Rattus norvegicus: one gene and its partners. The protein of the gene in region 4 interacts with the protein of the main gene of each other region in a biochemical or structural test. Links are inferred from orthologs where the notes say so. Each region holds a gene or a part of one and is shown on either strand. Other genes may lie near its edges. The genes, in order: Lat, Erbb3, Lcp2, Zap70 and Shc1.

What was found.
Region 1: of the proteins of Zap70 (region 4) and Lat, one has a biochemical effect on the other in vitro, tested with the Homo sapiens proteins (2 studies listed by BioGRID). The link is inferred for Rattus norvegicus from reciprocal best matches to the Homo sapiens genes ZAP70 and LAT.
Region 2: the proteins of Zap70 (region 4) and Erbb3 form a complex in vitro, tested with the Homo sapiens proteins (2 studies listed by BioGRID and IntAct, with this or other methods). The link is inferred for Rattus norvegicus from reciprocal best matches to the Homo sapiens genes ZAP70 and ERBB3.
Region 3: of the proteins of Zap70 (region 4) and Lcp2, one has a biochemical effect on the other in vitro, tested with the Homo sapiens proteins (2 studies listed by BioGRID). The link is inferred for Rattus norvegicus from reciprocal best matches to the Homo sapiens genes ZAP70 and LCP2.
Region 5: of the proteins of Zap70 (region 4) and Shc1, one has a biochemical effect on the other in vitro, tested with the Homo sapiens proteins (2 studies listed by BioGRID, with this or other methods). The link is inferred for Rattus norvegicus from reciprocal best matches to the Homo sapiens genes ZAP70 and SHC1.

The regions. Positions count from the first base shown.
Region 1 is NC_086019.1:190,368,998-190,373,617, forward strand, and holds the start of Lat (linker for activation of T-cells family member 1), read right to left. Parts: upstream 3,140-4,620; 5' UTR 2,905-3,139; coding exon 2,802-2,904; intron 2,630-2,801; coding exon 2,602-2,629; intron 2,492-2,601; coding exon 2,457-2,491; intron 2,226-2,456; coding exon 2,138-2,225; intron 2,001-2,137; coding exon 1,936-2,000; intron 1,853-1,935; coding exon 1,823-1,852; intron 1,744-1,822; coding exon 1,683-1,743; intron 1,615-1,682; coding exon 1,520-1,614; intron 1-1,519. Other genes in the region: Spns1 (protein spinster homolog 1), read right to left, coding at 3,918-4,012, 4,352-4,523. UniProt on the Homo sapiens protein: Required for TCR (T-cell antigen receptor)- and pre-TCR-mediated signaling, both in mature T-cells and during their development.
Region 2 is NC_086025.1:1,597,177-1,601,926, forward strand, and holds the start of Erbb3 (receptor tyrosine-protein kinase erbB-3), read right to left. Parts: upstream 3,204-4,750; 5' UTR 3,082-3,203; intron 2,924-3,081; 5' UTR 2,738-2,923; coding exon 2,656-2,737; intron 497-2,655; exon of another isoform or gene 1-496. UniProt on the Homo sapiens protein: Tyrosine-protein kinase that plays an essential role as cell surface receptor for neuregulins.
Region 3 is NC_086028.1:19,170,660-19,174,669, reverse strand, and holds part of Lcp2 (lymphocyte cytosolic protein 2), read right to left. Parts: exon of another isoform or gene 3,706-4,010; intron 1,941-3,705; exon of another isoform or gene 1,881-1,940; coding exon 1,783-1,880; exon of another isoform or gene 619-1,782; intron 333-618; coding exon 284-332; intron 182-283; coding exon 98-181; intron 1-97. UniProt on the Homo sapiens protein: Adapter protein primarily involved in signaling pathways within T-cells, as well as other immune cells such as platelets, mast cells, and natural killer (NK) cells.
Region 4 is NC_086027.1:46,484,182-46,488,634, reverse strand, and holds the start of Zap70 (tyrosine-protein kinase ZAP-70), read right to left. Parts: upstream 3,031-4,453; 5' UTR 2,932-3,030; intron 320-2,931; exon of another isoform or gene 37-319; coding exon of another isoform or gene 1-36. UniProt on the Homo sapiens protein: Tyrosine kinase that plays an essential role in regulation of the adaptive immune response. Regulates motility, adhesion and cytokine expression of mature T-cells, as well as thymocyte development.
Region 5 is NC_086020.1:177,137,185-177,141,720, reverse strand, and holds the start of Shc1 (SHC-transforming protein 1), read right to left. Parts: upstream 3,174-4,536; 5' UTR 2,966-3,173; coding exon 2,471-2,965; intron 1,912-2,470; coding exon 1,841-1,911; intron 1,357-1,840; coding exon 1,293-1,356; intron 1,164-1,292; coding exon 1,044-1,163; intron 668-1,043; coding exon 614-667; intron 329-613; coding exon 277-328; intron 114-276; coding exon 1-113. UniProt on the Homo sapiens protein: Signaling adapter that couples activated growth factor receptors to signaling pathways. Participates in a signaling cascade initiated by activated KIT and KITLG/SCF.

The DNA of each region.
Region 1 (4,620 bases), on a different chromosome or scaffold from region 4:
GGTTCAGGAGAGAAATGACAGATTAGAAATCTGGTTACAAATGGTGGTGGTGCACGTCTTTAATCCCAGCACTCAGGAGGCAGAGGCAGGTAGATCTGAGTTCAAAGACAGCCTGGTCTACAGAGTGAGTTTCAGGACAGCCAGGGACACCCAGAGAAACCCTATATGGGAGTGTGGGGGGACTATCAATAAAAACCAAATGGAAATACACCTATAATCTCAGAACTCAGAAGCCACAGGCAATTGGAACTCTATGAGGTAAAGGCCAGACTGGTCTACAAAGTGAGTTCCACAGCAGCCAGGGTTACACAGTGAGATTCTGTCAAAAACAAAAAACAAACAACAACAAAACCAGAGCCAGATTACAGACATGATAGTCTAGGGTAAATAGTCTAGGGTAAATGCAGAAGGTTGGGTGTTTCTGAATTAAAACTCCAAAATTCAGCATATTCCAAATCCAAAACCCTTTAAGTACTCGTGCATTACCACAAATGGAAAATTCCATGAAACTTTGATTTCATGCAAAAGATTTTCAAGACTGAGCATGGTAACCTACACCTTTAATTTGAGTTCGAGTCTACTTGGTCTACATATCAAGTTCCAGGACAGCCAGGACTAGACCATGAAGCCCGATGTCAATAAAACTAAGACAAAACAAAAACCTACCTTCAGACTTGGTATATATTATATAATGGTGTATATAAAACATAAGTGAATTAATCTCATGTTTAATCTTGAGTTTCATATTCAAAAGAATTTATTATATATTTATAAATATTTCTAAATCTGTATCGAAGTGTTTCAGGTAAAGGATACTCATGCTATGCAGAGACAAGAGGGTAGAAAACTGAAGATCACCAGACCTTGAGGAAAGTTCAGGGAAGGAGAAAGACCAAAGCAGAGAAAAGCGGTCCAAGAGAAACAAAGACCATGTGGGTACGCAGAAGACATCTTCAGTGAGAGGGGGTGAGAGACAGACAGATATGCAGAACGACAGAGACAGAGACAAGAGAGAGACACAGAGAGAAACAATCTGTAATCAAAGTTCTTACAGACACATTAGATGATATTGCTTCCAAGAAACAAGAACAGGGTACTATACAAAAAGAACTGAGGGGGGACTTTCAGATAAGAGAAATGGATTCTTTTATTTTCTTTTTGTTGATCGTAGTGCTGTTTTGGTTTCTGAAGAGAGGGTATCACTATGTAGCCCAGGCTAACCTCCAACTCAACCCTCCTGCCATAGCCTCCTGATGCTGGGAATATAGGCATGCACCCCCACATCCAGCCGAGAAATGAAATTTCAATGGAAGGGTTCAAGAAGAGTCAGGAAATCTCTTGGACAACAGAGAGGAGGGAGCAAAGGTGAAAGGAAAAACAAGACAATGGAAGGTGGAGAGCAGGAAGCTGGACATCTGAAGGAGGAAATGGAAGAGCGGCAATCATTACAGAGACAGAGGGAGGGAAGGAGAGGCTGGCAGCACATGGCGGAAGGAGGTAGACAGAAAGCCTGACTCACTAGAGAAGGCACTGTCTCCAAGGTCAGGGTTGCTGGGCACCGGAGCAGAGGAGACAACAGGGACGGCAGCAGGACTACTGTCAGGCAGCACCACTCTGGAAGGAAGGAATGAGTTGATAAAGGGTACCCAACTTCCACGGCCACCTCCCACCTCCCCACTCACAGGTAGCCCTCAGGATAGTCATCTTCATCCTCATCTTCATCCACGTTCTTACGGGCTGGCTCTATGAGGAAGGGGAGTCAACATGACCTGGACAGCTCCAGCCTCCCCACCCCACCCACTACCCTAGACCCCAGACCCACCCTGGTTCTCGTAGCTCGCCACACTGTTGGCTTCAAAGAGAGAGGGAAAGGAAGACCGAGTCAGCTCAGGTTGCACTTCCTCCCCAACGCCCTCCTGTGCTCTACACCCTTACCATCATCTGAATTCTGCCGGGAAGATGGCATCCGATGGGAGCCCCCGAGGGGCTGTGGGGATCTCCTGGAAGCCAAAGGCCAGAGATTACATCTGGGTAGGCCTCTGGGAGCAAGAGGGGTTAAACCAGGAAAAAGTGCCTCCCCAACCTAGAAGGTGTGGAAGCACAGTAGATCCGAGGGAGGGAGTTGGGGGATACTCACGGAATGGGGAGCAGGTCTGGCTGCCTCAGGGGTGGGAAGGAAGTGACAAGAGGGTAGGAAGTAGCAGGTGTTCGGGGGACGGTTATTTCTGAGGACACAGAGCAAAGAAAGCTTGAAGGGATGATGCCAGACATCCCCCCACCCTCATCAAGGCCTCTAAGGACAGATGTACCCCTGAAAACCATGCCCTAGACAGACATTGGGGCTCCCACTTCCCCCTATCCCAAGCCAGGTAATAACCCTTCAGACAGCTAAAGATGAACAGGACAAAGGCACAATCTTAAGAAACCTCGAGGAAGGCCAGGGTCACGGAACTCACGAGGTGGTTTGATGAGGATGCTCCTTGGGTACAAACTGGCAAGAAAGAGATAGCCTGAGTACAAGGGCTTGGGCCTTGGGCCCCAGCCCCAAGTCCTTGATTGGAACAAAGGGAAGACACACAGGGCCATGGGTTTGCCACTCACCTCTCTGTGGAAGCACTGTCATAGGAGGCTAGAGGAGAGACAGCCAATGAGGCAGGATCAGGTACATTGGAACAAGACACGCAGGTCCCCCACCCCCACCCAGGACTGAAGTAGGGACAGTTGGAGGGTGAAGGGCCGGGGACGGCATGAGGATTCGATGGAGTGTCCAGCATCCCGTTTGCCCAAAGCTCCCCACTTACCTGGCAACTCACGGCAGCGCACGCATAGGGCAGCCAGGAGCATGACCACGAAGGGCAGCAGCAGGAGGCCCAGCTCCACAGGGCTCAAGGCGTCTGCTTCCATCTGCAGAGCACCTGCCCCAGGCCCTGCTGCACCGCAGCCCCTGGAGGGGTGTGGGACCAAGCGGGCCCCAGCCTGGGATCCAGCAGCCGGCAGCTGCGTCTGCTCTCTTGCTCGACTGAGTTGAGATTAGCGTTGGCTCCGGAAAGGTGTTAGTCCCGGAGCCAGCGCTGGGGCCTGTGCCCCAGCCACCAGCTGCACGATCCCTGTGCCCAGCTGTACCTGCCTTTCTTGCTCCCCGCCTGCCTCTCCTTCTCACCACCCGCGTGCGACAGGAAGCTGTGGTGAGGGCAGGAAATCATCAGGCTCCTCAGCCGGCTGAGCCTGCCCCCTGCCCACTCACCCCCACCCAGTTGTGGGAAGGGGGAGGAGGCAAAGGGACTGTGTGAAGGAAGGGTCTGAGGCTGCAGAATGAGGCAACCCCTCCACTAGGAAAGGAGACACGTGCCAACCAGGCCAGCTGTAGCCTCCTCAGGTGGGAGAACTGCAAGGAGGCTCTGCCAGGGCCTGTGTGGACCAAGGGTACCACTGCCCCCAGCTCCTAGGCTCACGTACTGGGAGAGCGACTTCCAGAGGACCACGGTGAGTCACGGTCACACCGAGCCAGCTCACTCAGAAAAGAGCAGCCCTCCTTCTAGATTACCAAGCCCAGAAGACAGGGACTTACCCACAGGGTGACCTGACAGCCCCTGGTGAATCCGGAGGCTACAGATATTTCCCTGAAGCCAGTGGCAGCCACAGAGAGACAAGCAGTCAGTCGGGAGTCTGATTACAAATTTTATTTACATCCGTTACAAATAGCACCAAACCCCTTGGGCTACCCTAGTAGAGAGGACAACCCCCATTTCTGGACACCCATCTCTTCCCTGGGCTGCCCATGTAGTGTCTGGGAGCTGGGATCTATCCCAGGGCTTCCTTCTTGGACCTGGGCCTGGTGAGGGCTTCTGCCTGGGAACCGTTTGGGGTGGGCCCAGGACCAGCTGTGACATCTATGGCTGGGCTCGAGCAACGGCTCCTCAGATGAGCACACTGGACACAGGGACTCGGGTAGAACGGCCTCGCTGAGGTACCACAATCTGGTCATCTGAGGGCTCGGTCTCATGCAACAGACCTTTGAGAAAGGGATCAGAGCCAAAGCCAGTAAGATAAGAGCCAGCAAGGGGACAGAGGACAAACAGGCAGAGGAATACAGACGAAACAGCAGTGAGGGCCCTCAGAACTGCACACAGGCAGAAAGTCCAATCCACTTTCTGATAGACTCAATGCTGAGCTGGATGAGCCAGGGAAGCTGGGCTCTTGCCCCTGGCAGGTAGCTGGTGGCATGAATGTATGGGACAGTCTGAGTGGAGGGAGAACCGTGGAACGTGTACTTGGAGGCTGACAGACAGGCAGATGGACAGACAGACAGATGGCACTGTGAAGGTAGACCCTGACAGTGGCCCTCACTGACCCTGCACGTGGAGTTGTGCCCGCCGGCGGTCATTCTCAATGAACATGGCGGTGCCCAGGAAGGCCGCGCCACCCAGGGCCCCGACGAAAGCACAGAGCATGAGAGAGAACTGCAGAGCCCGGAACTCGGACAGGAAGGAAGGGGGCCAGCTCCTTCGGAGGCGGTCAGAGATCTGCAGGGAGAGGAGAGTCAGAGACACGGGGATGTGGAGCCCTGACCAAGAAAATGAACAGAAGCTGGGAAGGGGAATGTTTGGGCCGTAGGGTGAG
Region 2 (4,750 bases), on a different chromosome or scaffold from region 4:
CCTCTACCCCGGAGCTTTGGGCTTAGAAAAGTGACCTCACTGGAGGGACAAGCCCTGGTAGTGGGGTGGGGGGGTCAATGGGAGCTTTGTCTTTAAAGCTGGACGATAAGGAACTGGCGGCCTCCCCCTCCCCAAACTCCGGTCTCCCTTCTCATTCCCTCCCCTAAGCCAACATGCTCCAGCTCCCTGGGCACCACTGTGCAGCCCTGAGTGCTTTTCACCAAACAGAGAAGCCCAGAGAGAGACAGAACAAAGCCTCCACTCCAAAGCCAATTTCATCGTCAGAAGGATTCTTTAAAGAGACTGCTAACATGGCAGTGTTCCCCAGTAGGCACTCCAGGAGAGAGCCCAGAGGAGAGGCCATTTCAGTTCTTGGGCTTTCACTGTCTTCCCTGGAGCTCTTTCCTGTGGTGCAGTAAAAGCACATGGAGAGGAGGGTGGGGGTAAGGGGTACACCACCTGTTCTAACCACCCTTCCCTGAGGCGGGGCAGGGAGAGAGAGAGAGAGAGAGAGAGAGAGAGAGAGAGAGAGAGAGAGAGAGAGAGAGAGTCAGAAAGCCCAGTTTCTCTTGTTAGGTACATGTCTAGTTTGACCCCTTCTAGATCATCTTCCCTATCCTCTCTCCATGATGGAAAGAGTGGGCCAGTTCCAGCAAGAAGCTAGAAGCTCCCAGAGGAACCTGGGAACTCCAGGGTCCTTGGGCTGAAATAAAAGACTAGGAAGGTTAGTCATTTCTGGAACAGCCCCACCCCTGTCCCCTTCCTGGCAGGACACCCCTCTTCCAAGTTAAGGTGCCAACCCTTCTCAGATAGGGGAGGAGCTAGGATATCTGCACAGGGAAGTGATGTGTACCTGTGCGTGCGTGCGTAGTGTCACACATGTACGACTGACACACAAACATGTACACAGTTACCCTGGCACAGAAATAGATAGTGTTTGCCCTGGAACCCATACTCAGAAGCATTACAAGGGGCCAGTCCATCCTGCCTGCCCACAATGCCTTGCACACTTTGTGTCTTGTGCTTTGCAAAGCCCTACAGGGCTCAGTTACCTGCCACCCTGAGGGTAAAGTCCAGATCCCACAAACAGGGGCAAAGGGCGCAGGCGGACAGGACGGGAGCATAAACAACCACCCAGGAGGGACCAAGCAACCTGGGGATCACGGCAAGGAAGCAGTGAAAAATACCGGGTGGGGGTAGGGTGGACAACGCTCACAGAGGAGCAAAGGATCAAAGTCGGAGCCTTTCTCTGTAGAGAGTATTGACTGCACAGACCAAGAGCCTCCAGCCCCTCAGATGCCTCCCCTCTATTGCCACATACACAAGGGGACAAAGGGGCTATACAAGGCTTGAGACAGGGCCGGATGCCCAGAGGCTCAGGAGGAAGATAAAGGGTAGACAAGCAAGCATGCCTGCTCCCTGCCTCTTGAGGAGGGTGGTGGGAGTCCCGGACTCTTGGGTTCTGGTTGGTGGGGGCAGTCAGATGGAACTGTGTTCCAGTCACTCCCCTGGCCCTCCCCCCAGTCCCAGACCACCCCCTCCACCAGCTGGGAGTGTTCACATCTCAAGATCCCAGGGGCTAAATTTAGGCCCAGCAACTGTGGGGGAAGCACAGGTGGTTTCTCCCACTCCCACTCTGCGGAAGGGGCACTGACTGTGCCAACCCCCAAGCAGAGATCTTGGGGTGGGGTGGGGGGAGCAAGATCAACAGGACTCTAATTATACCAACTCCGGTGTTCTTCAGGTGTCTGTAGTCCCAGAGACACCCGTAGGAAAGGGCTCATATGGCACCGAATGGGGGGAGGGCACAAGTTGGGTCTGGGAGCCAGTTCACAGAATAGAATGTTCAGAAGGTGGGAGAAGTGACCTCAGATTGGAGAGAGAAATAGGTCTGATTGTCTTTTTCCCCACAGCCCCAGAATAGGGTATAATACCCTGGAAATAGTGTAGTGTGTAATAGATGCCCAACATGTTAACTGAATTGACCTGGGTCTTGATAAAGAGACGTTGGTTAAGTTGGGGGACCGGCTTATCTTATGGGAAAGCAGGCAGCCAGCTCTGTGAGACCTCTCACTGATGTCACCTGGACTTGGCCCTCAGGTTAATCTCAGCCTTCTCAGGACAGCCCCACTCACGGAAGAGGAGGTGCCACTCTTGTTTTTCCAACATTAGAAAACAACAACTTCCAACCCTTGCATAGCCCCGCCCTGTCAGCAAAACAACGAAACTGGGGGGTTGTTGAAACCTGGGATGGGGTGGGGGCCAGGGAACCTGAGAACAAACTGAGACCCTTCAAGTCAAGGCTCCTTACGTTTACAGAAGGGTCCCTGCCCGCCCTCCTCCCAAGGCTCTCAAGTGTGAATCTACTGTTCTTCATTAACCAAATCAGAATAAGACCAATTAGAGGGTCAGCGACGCCCTGGGAAGAAGGGTAGGCATCCAGGAATGCAGTCCCAGCCCCCAGAAAGCTCCACTCCAAGAACCGAGGCACACGGCCCCCTCCTTGGTGGTGCGAGCAGACCCGGTGTCGCACCCCCCCCCCACACACACTCCCCAGTTCAAAGAGTCAGTGCCCGAACTCCTTGCCCAGGGTCTGCGAGCGTTCAGGTCACACGCTCCCAGCTTCCAGACTTCTGGGGCTCCCGCGCGGCTTACCTGCCTGAGAGTTGCCCATCTCGGAACCCCGGGCCAGGCTGAGAAGGAAGCACAGCACCTGCAGAGTCCCAGTCGCCCTCATGATTCCAGCGGATGGTGAAGGGAGCCCTGCCGAGTCTGGCCCGGGGGCCCCAAGATTAGGAGGACATCGAAGCGAAAGCCACCTGAACAGCCAGCGAATAGGTAGCTGCGGCCGCAGCGGAGGTTGCAAACTGCAACTGGAGCCGGAGTCAGAGTCCGGAGCGGGGCGGCAGGGGAGGGTGTCTGTCTGGGAGGGAGGGACGGAGCGAAGGGGGAAGGGGGTGAGTCACGGCCGCGCCCCCTCCCGTGCGAGGCTGAAGTCCTGATGGTTGTAGCCCGGGACACCCGCCCAAAGGTGCTCCGCCAGCCCGCAGCCTGGCCAAGAGGGTCAAGGAGGGGTCTTACTCCAGCAATTCCCTCCGGAGATGGTTCAGAGGAGATCAAGATTCCAAACGACCCCAGGCCGGGGAAAGGTAGTGACTGCGGGTAAGGAGAGCGCTCCGAAGCCCAGCCCCCAGAAAGCTGGCCTCGCCCATTAACCAAATCACTCAACTCCCCTAGCCGGTTGGATCACTTGAGGGATTTTTTTTTTCCTTCTTTCGTAGTGTGAGTATTTCAGTTTTTTCGAGTGGGAGGTTGTTTTTTAGCCTAGCGTTCATGCCACCTCAGTTTCCCCGGGACGCAAAGCCCCGTAACTCATGTACCCAGCTCGGGAACCCGAGCCCCGGAGACCGCGTGAAATTGCACTGTCTCCGGCCGCTTCCTCCGGCAGACCCGGCGCCGGCTCGGCCTCTGGGGGGATTTGCCTGGGGGGCGGGGGCGGTTTCCAGCCTGGGAACAGACCGGGGAGTCCGCCTTCCCACTTCAGCCCGGGGAGGGGCTCCCGCACCTGTCGCCGTCCCCTCTGCTGCCCCCCACGGCCGCCCGAGAGAACAGCTGTCTCCGAGGGACCGACCGCGCCGTCCGGGCGGCCGCGGTTCCCGCCTCTCCTCCGCGGACCCAAAAGGGCACAGCAACGCTCACACTGGGAGACGACAGTGAGGAGGGGAGCGGAGAAGTCACCGCACATGGCCCACGGGACCCAGGGTTGCTGGGTCCCGGACGGGTCCGACTGGCGCCCCCTGGTGCCCAACCCCTTGCATTTCGCAACCCTTACATTGGCATTCCAAGATTTTGAGAATTTATTGTCCCCTCCCCCTGGGCGAAGACTATGGACTACAATCTTTTCTTTTCTTTTGTTTATTTTTTTTTTTTGGTTTTGAAACAAGGTCTCATATAGCTCATAGAGCTCAGGCTGGCCTCGAGTATATTATGTGACTGACACTGGTGTTGAACTCTGAATGGTCGATCTTTCTGCTTCCACCTCCCAAGTGCGCCATGTCCCCACTCTCCTGCTACAATTTTTTTTAATTTGTTATTATTCCTGTATGCATGATCGTTCGTACTTGTTTCTGCTACGATATGTGTACGGAAGCCGGAAGACGACTTTAGGGGCACTTGATTATCTCTTTCCATTTTTACACGGGTTGGGAGATGGAATTCAAGTTACCAGACTTTCTCTGCAAACACATTTAGGTATCTGTGGTGGCCAGAAGTTGTTGGTTGAATCCCTGGTAACTGGAGTTACAAATTGTTGTGAGCTGTCATGTGGGTCTGGGTAAGAAACCCTAGTTCTTTGGAAGAACAAGTGCTCCCAAACACTGAACCATCTCTCCACGTGCCCCATCCCTTGCCCTCTTGCAACGATTCTTTAAACTTGCTATTGCGTGGGTGTGCCTATCCACCCTTGGCCTTTCCTGGACCTGCTATGTAACAGTTACACTATTAAAAGCAAGAGCACTGACTGCTTTTCCAGAGGTCCTGAGTTCAATCCCCAGCAACCACAGGCTGGCTCACAACCATCTGTAATGGGATCTGATGCCCTCTTCTGCTATGCCTGAAGACAGTTGACACTGTACTCATATATAATAAATAAATAAATCTTAAAAAAAAAGATTCTGGCTTTCCGGTCCGACATCGTGGGTGAAGCCGCTGCAACGGTGCAGATTTTTTGTGAAGACCCTTACAGGGGAGA
Region 3 (4,010 bases), on a different chromosome or scaffold from region 4:
TGTGTATGTATGTGTATGTGTGTGTATAATATGTGTGTGCTTAGCACTCTATAAACGTAGCCATTATTATTGTGCATAAAATATGAGCAATACCAACCCAGTAAGGGCTCTCGGTCAAGAGGAGGAGCCAATGAGCGGTCCAGGGGAGGTTTTGTGCTTCTGTCTATTGATGGAGCAGGCACTGGAGTGGAGAAAGCTGAGGTCAGTTAAAAAAGAAAGAAAGCATCCGGCTGGGAATTGGGTGGGTGGGCTGGGGGGGGTGCAGAAAGCACCCTGTACATACGCTTTGCTGTTTTATGGTTCCGATTTCTGCTAGGTTCTTCATGGTTGGGCTGGGCCGGAGACAGTGGCAGCATGGAATTAAAAAAAATAATAATAACCCAGTCCAAATGTTTGGAAATTTTCCCACTTTTCCCTCTCCAAAGGTATCTGGATCCCTTTTCTCCATCTCCAGGTCTGTCCCGCAGCTAGCTGTCAGCTGAGTTGCTGAGGTCGTGCCCCTCTGAACTTCCTCACTCTCTCATGCTTCAGCCTTTTGCATGGCAAAGAACCAAGCAGAAACTTCCCTACCAAGCCCTCCAAGGTTCTAGTCACATCAGAAGTGAAATATGACACCACCATCACCACCACCACCACCACCTCCACCACCACCCCTACCACCCCTACCCCTATCCCCCATCCCCCCACCCCCATGAAGCCCCACAGTAGATGCCCTGCCCACCATTTGAAGCCATTTCTATGTTCCTCGCTAATGCTCCATGGTCCCCGAATAAGGATCTCCTTACAGTTCTCACAAAACCCAAAGCTCATACCTACTCGTGAACATCTCTGTGCCTATGTTTCCTCTGCCTGGGATGTTCCTTCTGCGTTCCCTATGACTGGCTCGTCCTGTGCCAGCTCGGTGTCAGCTCTGTACACTCTGTCATATTACTCGGCCCCCTGTCTTCCTAAACCACATACCCAGGTCATTTCTACATCTGTGTGCTTGTTGATAGCAACACGGTATGAAAGTCGGAACATTCTGTACTGTTCCGTGTTCTTCCCCCGGCACAGAGGACACTGGTGTGAAGTAGTAGCCCCATCAGTATCTGTTGACATGATAGGCAAAGCCTGCCTCCCAGTGGTGGAGGTGCCAGCCGTCTGATTTCAAAAGCAAAATGCCTTTCCTCCCACCACAATCTCCCCTCCTAGCTCTGTCCTGGCCCCTTGCGGAAAGAGCACATCGATGACTCCTTTAGACTGAGCTTCATGTAACCTCCATAGGAGCTGGACTATAATGCTGAATGAAAAGGGAAAGTGGGGCTCGGTGCCACTGTTTCTCTCATGGGCTTCACCGAGTTGGAAATCTTGTGGTCTGAAGGCGTTCATCCCTGGAAGTTCTTGACCTTGCCAGCAGGTGGCGCAGCGCTGCTTGCACGGGGAGGCCTACCTCGAGAGTCTAGGCAACACCGGAAGATGCCAGGCCAGACTTGGTTCTCCCACAGTTAAATAGCGGAAGTAGCACAATGATATTGGAGAAGGGGAGTATCTCATTATACACGCAGTTTATATTGTTTTTGGTGCAAAAAAACTGCCAATAAACATTATGCTATACATAGAAACTGCTTCTATGTCATCACAAAATTGAACTACTGAGCGGAACGTGAGGGTGTGCATTTTTCCTGTCATAACCGCCTCTTACAAACTTAGAATTAGGTCAAGATGCTTAGTTCCTTTTCTGTCTACCGGAAGAACGAATTGTAGTGGAAACAAAGCGGCCTGGAAGAAAGGGAAGAGGCTTACCGAGTGATTCCGGCCTGTTGGCAGGGGAGGGAGGGCGGCCATTGGTCTCTGCGGGGGCACCGGAGGCTGCTGGGAGACCTTGCCGGTGGGAGGCCGGTCTGTGGAAACACAATATTAAAAAGAAAGGAGAGCCGTTTAATACCACCGGGGAAGCAGAGGTAGGTGGATCTCTGAGTTCAAGGTTAGCCTGGCCTACAGAGCTAGTTCTAAGACAGCCAGGGCTACACAGAGAAACTTTGTCTCGAAAAACAAAAACAAACAAACAAAAACCAAGAAAGAAAGAAAAAAAACGAAAAGAGAAAAAATTAAAACGTTTGAATTAGGCTTCTTCTAGAACATGTTGTGCCTGACTATAGCTTGAGGTGTCAGGAGCCTCCTCCAGATCTCCACCGGTACCAGCATGAATTTGACATATAGTCAGACCCAGCCTGGGTCCTACAGGAGGCAGGAAGTCCTTGGCCCAGATCTGTCCCTCATCCTGCAGATTTGGTTTAAGTCTTCTTATACATTGGAATAACTCCCACAGTACCTTACACACAAACAGGTAATATCTGAGACACCTCTAGCCAAAGGAAGCCTCTAGAGAATTACCCCAGTGTTTTCAGATACAAATTCTACATGTGTGGACGAGCAAGGGTTCATGTGCATGCACACATGATCCCTGTGCATATATGTGCACATTTGCAAATATAGAGCACAAGTGTGTGTATTCAACATGCACATGCATGTACCTATGCCGTGAAACATGAGTGTATGCTGACACTTAAGCATGCACAGAGACACGTGTGTGCATGCCTGCATACATATGCTCACACTGCACAGGATTAAGTTCGCTGCCACCCTCATGAGCTCCTCACTCTGTCGCTTCCTTCCCTTCACAGGTACTCTGGGCTGCTATGTTCTCCTATTTCGTCCTTTGTCTGTCCCCTCCCTTACAGGGAGGGGCTGGCTCTCAATTCTGTTACCAAATTAAACAGCCCATGGTCTCGCCCTAGACAGACACATTATTCCGATTGCCACAGAACTTCCCAGAACCAGTTTGACAAGTTTGGGATTTCTTACCCCTTTGGGTGGGAAAGGCCAGCACCGGACAGCGAGGCAGGAGTAGCAAGTGCCTCTAGCATCCTGTACTTTTGGCCCTGGAGGCTTATCCAAGCTGCAGAAACCCCAACTAACAGACTGACTAACTGTTGGTTTGGGGAAGATTGAGGAAGGAGTCTGGAACTTCAGACTGGAAAGGCTGTTGTGGACTTGATCTACCCCTTTGTTAGCCCTATGAAGAATATCATTTCCCTTCCAGAAGGAAGGGGGTTCGGGCAAGGGGTAAGGGGAAGTCTGGTATCCATACCACAGGCTGCCTTTCAGCTCCTCGGATAGCCCATGTTCCTTGGGACCTCAGGGCCTCTGCACTGCCGTTTTATGTGCTTCAAATGTTCCTCCCCTACCCTGTTCGGCGTCATTTAACCAAACCTTCCTCATTTGCCATTCAGTATTTAATATCAGCCGAAGACTGTCGCTCAAATACCACACCCTGAAGGAGCAAACCCGTTTATTATGCTGGCCTAATGGAGTGACAGGATGCATTAGCTTAGTGTCATGCATTAGCTTAGTGTCGCCTCACCCACTCCACCAGGAGTGCTCAAGGATGAGGTCCGTCATGCTCACTCCATGTCTCTGTGACAGGCACCTAGAGATACTCACCAGCCTGGTTTCCCTTTTCTGCTCTGTCTGGAATAGCCTCAGTGATGGCTGAAGCTCCCTGCCTGTTAGCTTTCATGTTCTATCCCTCAATACACAAAGTCAGGTGGTGGGGCGCAGTCTGAAGCAGAGTACAACACAGCTCCCAGGGTGAGACACATTGACCCCTGGATGCAGAGGAAACCGAGTGTGCCTATGCTCATTTTCTGTTACCTCCTCTTCTAGAAAGTAATTCCCACCGGATAAAGGTGCATCTTCCTTCCTGGTAGATTCCAGCACATGGTGTCTGGCTCATAACAGGAGAGGAGAAGCATTCGTGACTTCATGAATGAATGAATGAGGAAGAACATGTGAGTGCAGGACGGCAGGTAAATGAGGAACATCCTAAAGTCTGTCTCATTGTAAAGGCAGAACCAATCCCTCTGAGTGCCCTCACATTTCTTATGACCTTCTGTGGATGGCGGTGCCACATAACCACCCTCTTCCCATCAAGCCTTTGTCCTCTGTTCTAGTATTATCCTGTATTACTC
Region 4 (4,453 bases):
CAGGCTCCTCCCTGGTTTTCCAGGAGAGATTTGCATCCCAGGGTCTCAGATCTCCTAGAGAATGGTGGCGTGGACCTGACCTGAAAGCTGGGCTCACCACTGCTCTGAGACAGGGCCGAGAACGATGTTCAGAGCTGCTGAGCTGCTGCCTGCTTCCTTCCTGTGCTAACAATCCACTCTGCCTGCCCTCCAGCCACAGGGGCCTGCTCAGTCTACTTGCTCAAGCCCCTGGGTTTGGGATGCAACAATTACGATGTCCAAGTTCAGGGTCTCGGCACTGCTTATATAACCCCTTCCTCCACTCCAATAGTGTCTGTACCCTGACCTCCCTCTAGCACAGCCTCTCCATGGTTTTCCACTCCAAGCCCATCTTTCTGGGCTTTACCACTAAATATGATACACATGTATCAATATGTTGACATCTTGGTCCCTTGCATGCTGCGTTTACACTGTTGCTAAACATCTGAGAGCCAAGAAGATCTACAATTGCCCGTGATGAACAGGGACACCCCTTCAAGAGACAGGCAAGAATGAGGGTCACAGGAAGGGCTGAGAGTAGGCAGCCTGGGGGCTTCACCCTCTAGCACACAGGGCTGAGAAGACCGGCTCAGGAGCCTAAGCCAGCCATGCCCTTGTCCTGACTTTATGCTCCAGGATTCCAGCTGCCCCTCTCTGCCAGAACGTTTCCACCATCCTTCCCAGGATGCACCAGGTACCTAGGAGGGGGAGCCTTCCACAGCCCCCACCTCCCACCTCCCAGCCTTAATGGTCACTGTCTGTCACTCTTTCTATGACTTCTCTGAGCCTGGCTCCTCCAGGCCCACCCCACAGCAGCCCCCTTTCCATCATAGCCCTTGCTCCCTCCCACACAGAGAACGAGGCCAGCTTCATTACAAGGCCATGGGGCATCCTTTAGGATCTACTCCGCTTAACCTGTTCCTCAGCACCATTGCCGCCTGGGAACTGTTACTCCCATTCCTCAGCTGGGGAAACTGAGGCTCAGAGAAGCTGGTGTCAGGCTCCCAACCTGACCCACAGTTACACAGGCCCAACAGAAACCCACACTGATGTTTCCAACTAATACCATGCAGAGCGGAATGCAGAGCTCTGAGCCGAGTCCCTGGGGACTCCATGTCCCCACAGACCCCAATGTTGCCATTGAATTACTTGGCAAGGCCTTGAGTGCCCAGCTGCTGGGGCCAGAGACGGTCTCAAATCCAGCTCGCGGGGTTGGGGATTTAGCTCAGCGGTAGAGCGCTTGCCTAAGAAGCGCAAGGCCCTGGGTTCGGTCCCCAGCTCCAAAAAAAAGAACCAAAAAAAAAAAAAAAAAAAAATCCAGCTCGCTGAGCATCTGTTAACTGATGTGACAATGTCCCTCCAGCCCTGTAGTAAGGTTAGAGCCACAGCCCAGCCTCCACTCACTGGATGCTGGGAACTGCATGACCCTTTAAGCAAGGCAGCTTCTGCCCTCCGGATCTCAAGCCACGGTAAAAGAAAGGTAGGAAAAATCAAGAATCGGGGTGACCCAGGACAGGGTCCTATAGAGTTGAGGAACTGGTGAGGGAGGGGCTGGACGGTAGGGAGGGGTGTTTGATGACATTCTTGGCATCTACCCATTGCATGCCTGCATTGCCCAAGTTCATACCAAAAATATCTCCAGACACTGGCATCCTCTGGGGACAGGTGACATCAGCTGACCCTAGATCAGCATGACTCCCTCCCTTGATCCTTGGGCCTGAGCAGGGGTGGTGTGCATGGGGTGGTCCAGATGCTACAGCCCCATAGAAGTTTCCGGAATCTGTGGTCAGGGCCTGAGACCCTCAAGAGCTAATGATAACAATTAGCCTAACAACCAATTAGTTATACAGCACCTACTATGTCCCTGAACACAGGTGAGGTTCCTCAAGCCCCACAAGGACTCTGGGAATGATGTGTCAGATACAGAAACTGTGAAAGCACAGAGAGGTGAGGTGACTTGCCCAAGGTCACACAGCAATAAGTAGCAGGCAGATCTAGATGGACCCAGGCCCCTGGCCCTAAAAGTATAAGCGTCAATACCATCCAGGCTGCTGGCCCACCAGGGTACCTGCTGGGGTCGCACAGGTGAGACTGAAGGTCAGGTGGGAAGTGAAAAGAAACTTTGGGTTTGTCAGAGGAACCTCAGCAGGTGGCACCTTACATCTTCCAACCTAGGACTTGATGACCCCCATCTTTCAGCAAGGCCCCAGTAAGCACCTACCGTGTGCCTGATGTCCTAGCTAAGACAGGAGCAAGGAATGTGGCTGTTCACCATACGGACCCTGCTGTCTGAGATATTCCTCCAGCCTCTTAGCCAACAAACAAGGCAGGCACTTAACAGGCAGCCAGATCTGTGTCTGCTTGGGTTACAGGCACGCAAACCCAGGCTCAGAGAGGCCAAGAAACGTCCTATGGATACACAGCTACTGAGCGGAAATTTAGTGACTGGTTCTTTTGCCCCAGCCTTCAATATGACCTGTCCATGAGTGGAACAAGAGCCACTGGCATTTTGTTGTCCAGGCTCAGAGGCCTATTGTGCCAGCCTGCCGGCACCCCTTGAGTGACCTGTTTCCCCAGGGGCACCTACTCGCTCCACCTTCAGCCAGACACCACCCAGTTCAGTCCCTTAAATCCTCCTGAGTTAAAGCCATCACTCTGTCCTAGGCCAGTCCAGGAGGCAGGCTACCTTCAGGATGGTTCCATCTGGGCTGCCTTAGCAGGTGATATGTGGTCAAAGTCAGGAGGCCACTTGAAGTCTCTCCAGTCCCCACCACTTGGGCCTACACAAGCCCAGCCTCAGGTCCCTGTGGGCCCCACCCTCGTCACACAGAGATAAGACTAAGGGACTGACATCCACTCACACTCCCTCCACCTGGGGCTCCAGTCCCCAAAAACCAAAGGGCGGCCACTCACCTGGACACCCTCGACGCTACCACAGCTCACAGAGCACGGCAGGGCCTAGCCGCAAGGCCTGCTGTCCCTGGTGCACTTTTTCTCACCAACACTTTTCTCTGCTGCTCAACCTATTTCCTTGATGCGAAGACAGGAAAGAGAGCTGTGTTTGAAGTTGACGTCAAAGCAACAAAATGCTGTGTGGAAGGAAAATCACAGGCCACATTCTCCTGGCGGGGTACAGCACATTTCCGGGGTCATGCAGCATCAGTCGCAAGGGGTTGGGAACACAAAAGGAAGGCGGGGATTGTAGCAGTCAGGGATCCTGGGCAAAGCCTGCTGCCCACAGTAAGCCCCCATCTGAGAATGGGGCAGGGAAGACCCAGAGTGTTGGGAGGACAAGTTCTGGAAAGGAGGGGTCCCTAGAATGTTCCTGTCCTGGTTGGGGTTACTGTTGCCATGATTAAACACTGTGTCCAAAGCAAGTTAAGGAGGAAAGGGTTTATTTGGCTTACACTACCACAACTAATCAACAAATGAAGTCAGGGCAGGAAAACAGGGCAGGAACCTGGGGGCAGGAGCTGATGCAGAGGCCAGGGAGGTATGCTGCTTACTGGACTGCTTCCCATGGTTTGCTCAGCCTGCTTTCTTCTAGAACCCAGGACACCCAGCCTAGGGATGGCCACCCACCATCAGACTGGCCCACGCTGCAATCTCATAGAAGCATTTTCTCAATTGAGCTTTCCTCTCAGATAACCATAATATGTGTCCAGGTTGATATGAATCTAGCCAGCACAGTGCCCAATTTCTTGGAAGCATACTGAAGCAGGCCTCTGCTGGAACCCTAAAGGCAGGCTAAAGCCCTAAAGCTGGGGTTGGGGAGGGGTGAGTCCACTGGGACTTCAGAGCTAGTCTGGTGTTCACCTAGAAAAAGCCAAGATGGCAGGGCTGTTTTGGAGGGGCTCTGGGAAGAATTGGCTCTAGCGTTGGGGCATGAAGACAGGGGTCCCCCGACATTCACACACTCTAGTCTAGCCCCACACAGGACTCCCATCCTGGCCATTTCCCATATCTAGACCACAGCAGAAATGTGCAGTACCCACTCCAGTGCCCCAAGTCCTCTGGGGCTCCCTCCCCCCTGCCACCTTCTTGATGCTTAGGCAGATGCCCTGGAAGGTGTTCCTAAGCGCAGACACCCTCCCCAAAAGAGTCTCTCTCACACGACCATTGGCTTCTGGGTACCCCATTCAGGGTCTCCTCTTCAGTTCCTCCTCACAGGGCATCTACCATGATCACCTTCCCAAAGCCCCTCCCCATTCAGGAGAAGGCTTCTGGCTTGGATCCACTTCCCTTTCTCTACAGATACAGTGAGATCCCAGGGTCAGTGTCTCTGCATGCTAGTGTTTTGTTACTATAGTAAGAGAAGAAAGCCTGCAGACTAAGTCCACAGACCGGGGAAAGAACTCAGAGTGTTGGAATCACATATAGTAGCAAAGAACCAGCCAGACGCTGGTTCACAATTACATGTGAACTTTAATCCATT
Region 5 (4,536 bases), on a different chromosome or scaffold from region 4:
GACCAGCTTGGGTGGATTCCTGAGATACTGTTTGAAGCGCAACTCAAAGGCCTGCCCGATGGTGCTGATGACGTCCTGAGCAAGTCCTTCAGGACACTCCAGGATATGGCAGGCTGGGCACAGTGGAGACGCCAGTGAACTGAGGCAGGGTGCTAGCAGAACATGAGGGCAGGAGCCCCACCCCAGCCCTTCCCAGCAGGATAGCCCTATCGAGTATAACTGATCACTTGCTTCTCAGAGAATTGGTCCCACCCAGTGCTGTCCCCCACGCCTCACCTCTCTGATTCACAGGGTCTTTGGCAACATAGGCAACGTACTCAGCTGTGTCCTGGGGAGGGCAGATCCAGGAGGCCAGTTAGCTAGAGTTTACCTCCTGACCCACTAACTCTGTCCTTTTTACATATTTCACAATCCTTGTGCACCACTTCTTTAGCCAGTATTTTCTCCCTCCCTCTTTTGGTTTTTCAAGAAGGATTACTCTGCATGGCCCTGGCTATCCTGCCTCTTGAGTGCTGGGATTCTTGTGTGGCCACCACTCCCAGCCTCTAGCCAGCATCATTTCAGCCCCTAGTTTCTTCTTCCCCACCCGTCTTTTCTCTGTTCCCCAACTCACCGGATCCCCACCAGACGCGAATGAGATAGATTGCATGTGATGGTTGGCAATGATCTGATGAGGGCAGGGTGGAGAAGGAAGGAATGGTAAAGGTCAGGCAGCCTCAGGGCTCCACGTGAACCCACCCCAGCATAGAACCTTGGAGCCCCGGGATCATTCTCTTGGCCTTTTACCCTGCATTCTCCTAATTTCTTTCTTCTTTTGGTGGGGTGAGGCACAAGGTCTCACTATGTAGCCCTGACTAGAACTCAGATTCCTCTGCCTTGGCCTCCTGGGTGCTAGGATAAAAGGTATCACTATACTCAACCTTCCTAACTTCTTCCTCTTCTACTCTCCAGTTCTTCCTGAAGACTGCAAGTTTTTGGCCTCCAATCCCCACTTGATGCTCCCATAACTAACTATCCCTGGTTCCTTCGAGCAGCCTACCCACCTGTTTGCAGTCTGCTGCCATGAGGTTAAGGCTGCTGGTAGACACAGTGAGAGTGATCGGCATTCCAGCAAACTTCAGGTTACTCCTTCCCAGGATAGAGCTGAGTGGGCGGCTGCAGGGCTAGGAAGGGCCCAGAGTCTCAGAATCTGAGTTTTCCCAGCATAAGGAAATACTCACCTTCTCCCGACACGCCCTGCACATGCCTTCCCCTGCCTCCAATCACCCAGCCCCAACACCAACCACACATACCTTTCTCCTCCTCATCGCCCCTTTGGCACCAGGCACAGCTTCACACACCAAACTGATAGCCTCCCTGGAGAAACAGGAGTACTCAGACCCACCATGGGCCTCCCCCTGGCTAGGGCTGCCACAGAGCTGGGGGAAGGGAAGACCAGGCCAGATTCCCAGAGCACTCCAGGCTCTTTGTCGTGGTGGATTGAATTAAGGGCCTTTAATATTTGATGACACTGAGGGGCCGCTTCCTGGCTGATTGGGTTAGGGCCTCAATGGCTGCAGCTCCACCTCTTCCCAGCTCCCGAATGTTCCATCTCCTTCCCTAAAGCATCAGCAACCTCCTACCCCTGCTGCCTTTTCTAGTCCATCTTCCCACAGTCTCCAAGGCTGGATAGTTAGGTGAGGTGGTGCTCCACACCAGAGCTGGCTCCTTCCAGTCAGAACTACTTCTGTAACTTTCAGTTCTCTGACCACCCACGAGAAATCGCCATCAGCACCACCACCAAATGCCCAACTTCCTCCTCTCCCTGGCTGAGATTTCTGTAACTTCAATCCCCACTAACCTGGTGACCTGAGTCCGGGTATTGAAGTCAAGGGCTCGCATTGACTGTAAGACCTCCACGCAACCCATGTACTGTAGGGGAAGGAGGGAAGAATGGATCAGCTGTCCCCATCCCCCACCCCACACTTGCCAGCCCTTTGCAGAAGGTTCTAGGGCTTTGCCTTATCCCTAAGGAAAGTAAAGGTGAAGTAGCTTTCCTACTGCCTGGGGCTACCACCCCATAGGTGTACTGTGAAGGGGAAAGGGGAAAGAGGAAAGAAAGACCGCAAAGAGGAACTTCATGCACCACAGAGACATTATGAGAGGAGTAGCAGGTATTGGGTAGGATGGAGTGACATCTCTGGAAAAAGGAGGAGTCTAAAGGGAAGAATCAAGAAGTCATTTTCATTCAACTTTTACCAAAAGCCTCTGATGTGCTTGAGCATTGTGTAAACTGGGGAGTGGGGACCAAAGGAGGAAAGGCAGAAGATTCGCAGGCTAAATTAAGGGCAGAGAACTGGAGAAGGAATGCACCAGGTTTAAGAACTAAGAGAATGGCACAGATGTTCCAGGGGGAAGAGCAGGAAGTCCCGACAAATCTGGAGGAACTGGAAGGGGTATGGGGAGAGTAGAAAAGGGGATATGCACTCACCCGAACCAAGTAGGAAACCCCAGGTCCCATGACTTTGTCGTTGGGATGCAGCCAGCCTCGTGTGGGCTTATTGACAAAGCTCCCGTGTCTGGTCCACTCCTCGCCCCCCAGCTGGCCCCCTTCTACCCGAGTCCTGCGCCCGCCGCCTCCACTCAGCTTGTTCATGTCCTGGAGGAGGGGCAAGAGGCCTGAGTCCCGAAGGGCTGCTCCTGCACTCCCTTCCCCATCTTCTGCAGCTTTTCCTGGCTCCCCTTTAGGTCCCAGGCGCCCCCCAGCAGGATTGGCCAGCTTCAAGTTGCTCATCCGGGGAAAGAAGGAACACAGGGTAGTCGGGCTATCGTCCCCCGGCAGAGGAGGCAGAATGGGTCCCAGGGATGAGGCTGATGGGGAAGGCAGCTCCTCCGGTGGAGTAGACCCTGAAGCCCCCTCCTCCAGCGATGACAGAGACTCATTCCGAAGTGGGTTGTACTTCGGCTTGGGGGGTAGAAGATCCATGGCTGGGGTGAGAAGGGGGGCTGCTGCCCGGCCCGGCCCCCCTGCCAATTCAGGCAAGGGGGCCAGGCAGGGGGCATCCCCAGACCCTTAGCCTAGTCTGACCTCGGCAGCCGGGTGATAACAGAGGACCTGGGGAGGCGAAGGACAAGTGACCTCTGCTCTCCCAACTCAGACCTAGACAGTTTCAAACCACATCCTGGCCCAGCCCAGCTAGGAAACCTCGTCTGGCTGAGGAGTACAGGCTGGACCCAGAGCTGACTGGCTCCTCCCCAGGGGCGGGGAACTAAGGAGAGAAACCAATCCCCAGGACAGTGCTGACTCACAGGCTCAGAGGGGTTGAGACACCTCCCCACATAATTTGTGTTAGCCAGGCCACTCTCCCCAGCCCAATACAAACAACTAGTGATCTGTCTGGGAAGGAGGAGGTGCCGGGCAAGAAAGAAAGGAAGAATAAGCAAAAGAGAAAAAAGAAAGGAAGGAGTTAAGGAAAACTCTGGACCAATCCAAACAGACCTGGGCAAGCCAAAGAGAGCAGGAAGACCGGGAAGACTGGGAGGGATAGGAAGGAAACAGAAGCTGCTGGGCGGGGAGTGGGGGGAGGGAAGTTGTCCCTCAGAGTTTAGCATTTCCTTTCCAGACCCGGCTGAAGACGTGAATCCCTCACCCCCTAGCCCAGACCACCCCCACCCCCACCATACAGTGAGTGAGGTGGTAGCTCCAGGGAACCTGGGCCATTAGCATCCACCCCAACAGCTGAGGACCAGAGTTGAGAACCAGGAAGGGAAGTAGTCCCAGTGGATGTACTGCGAGGCCCAGAGGAAAGACAAAGCTGAAATAGGAATAAAGGCTAATTCGGGTGGTGCATCTGGGAGCTACCAGACAAGAGCTAGAGCAAGGCTGTTTCTACAAGTCACCAAGGACCAACAGACTTGGGGGTGGGGGTGCTCTTCCAGAGGCCTAGTGAGGAAAGCCCCCAGAGGATATAGAGATCTGGCCACCCCTTAGACCTACAGATATACTTTTACGCCTTATAGGCTACACACCCCACCAGACAGTGTACTTCACACTAGTAGAGGAGTTGGCCTTGGAGGTAGGAGAAAGAAACACACAGAACTGGTGCCTACAAGCCACAAAGGGATAATAGGGCCATAAACAAATCTGTGTTAATAAAGACAGGAAGGAGAAAGGGATATCAGAAGCTGGAATCTGGCCATAAGTGCATAATAATACCAAACCCCTATTTCTTTGCCCACAGTTTCCTGCCACAGCTCTGCTGAAGGCCATTCAGGAAGTTAAAGAAAGTGACCAATCAAAATAGCTCCGGATTAAACTATAGCTTTATTCACTTTTTAAAAAGTAACCAAACACAAGAAGTAAAAGGTACTTTTTTGTTTGTCTGGTTTTTCAAGACAGGGTTCGTTTGTGTAACTACATTGACTGCCCTAGAACTTGCTTTGTAGCTCAGGCTGGCCTCAAACTTACAGAGAATCACCTGCCTCTGTCTCCTAAGTAGTAGCACTTAAAGCAGGTTAAATATCATGCTTCATTCGTTCACCTGTCCTTAGTCCCCA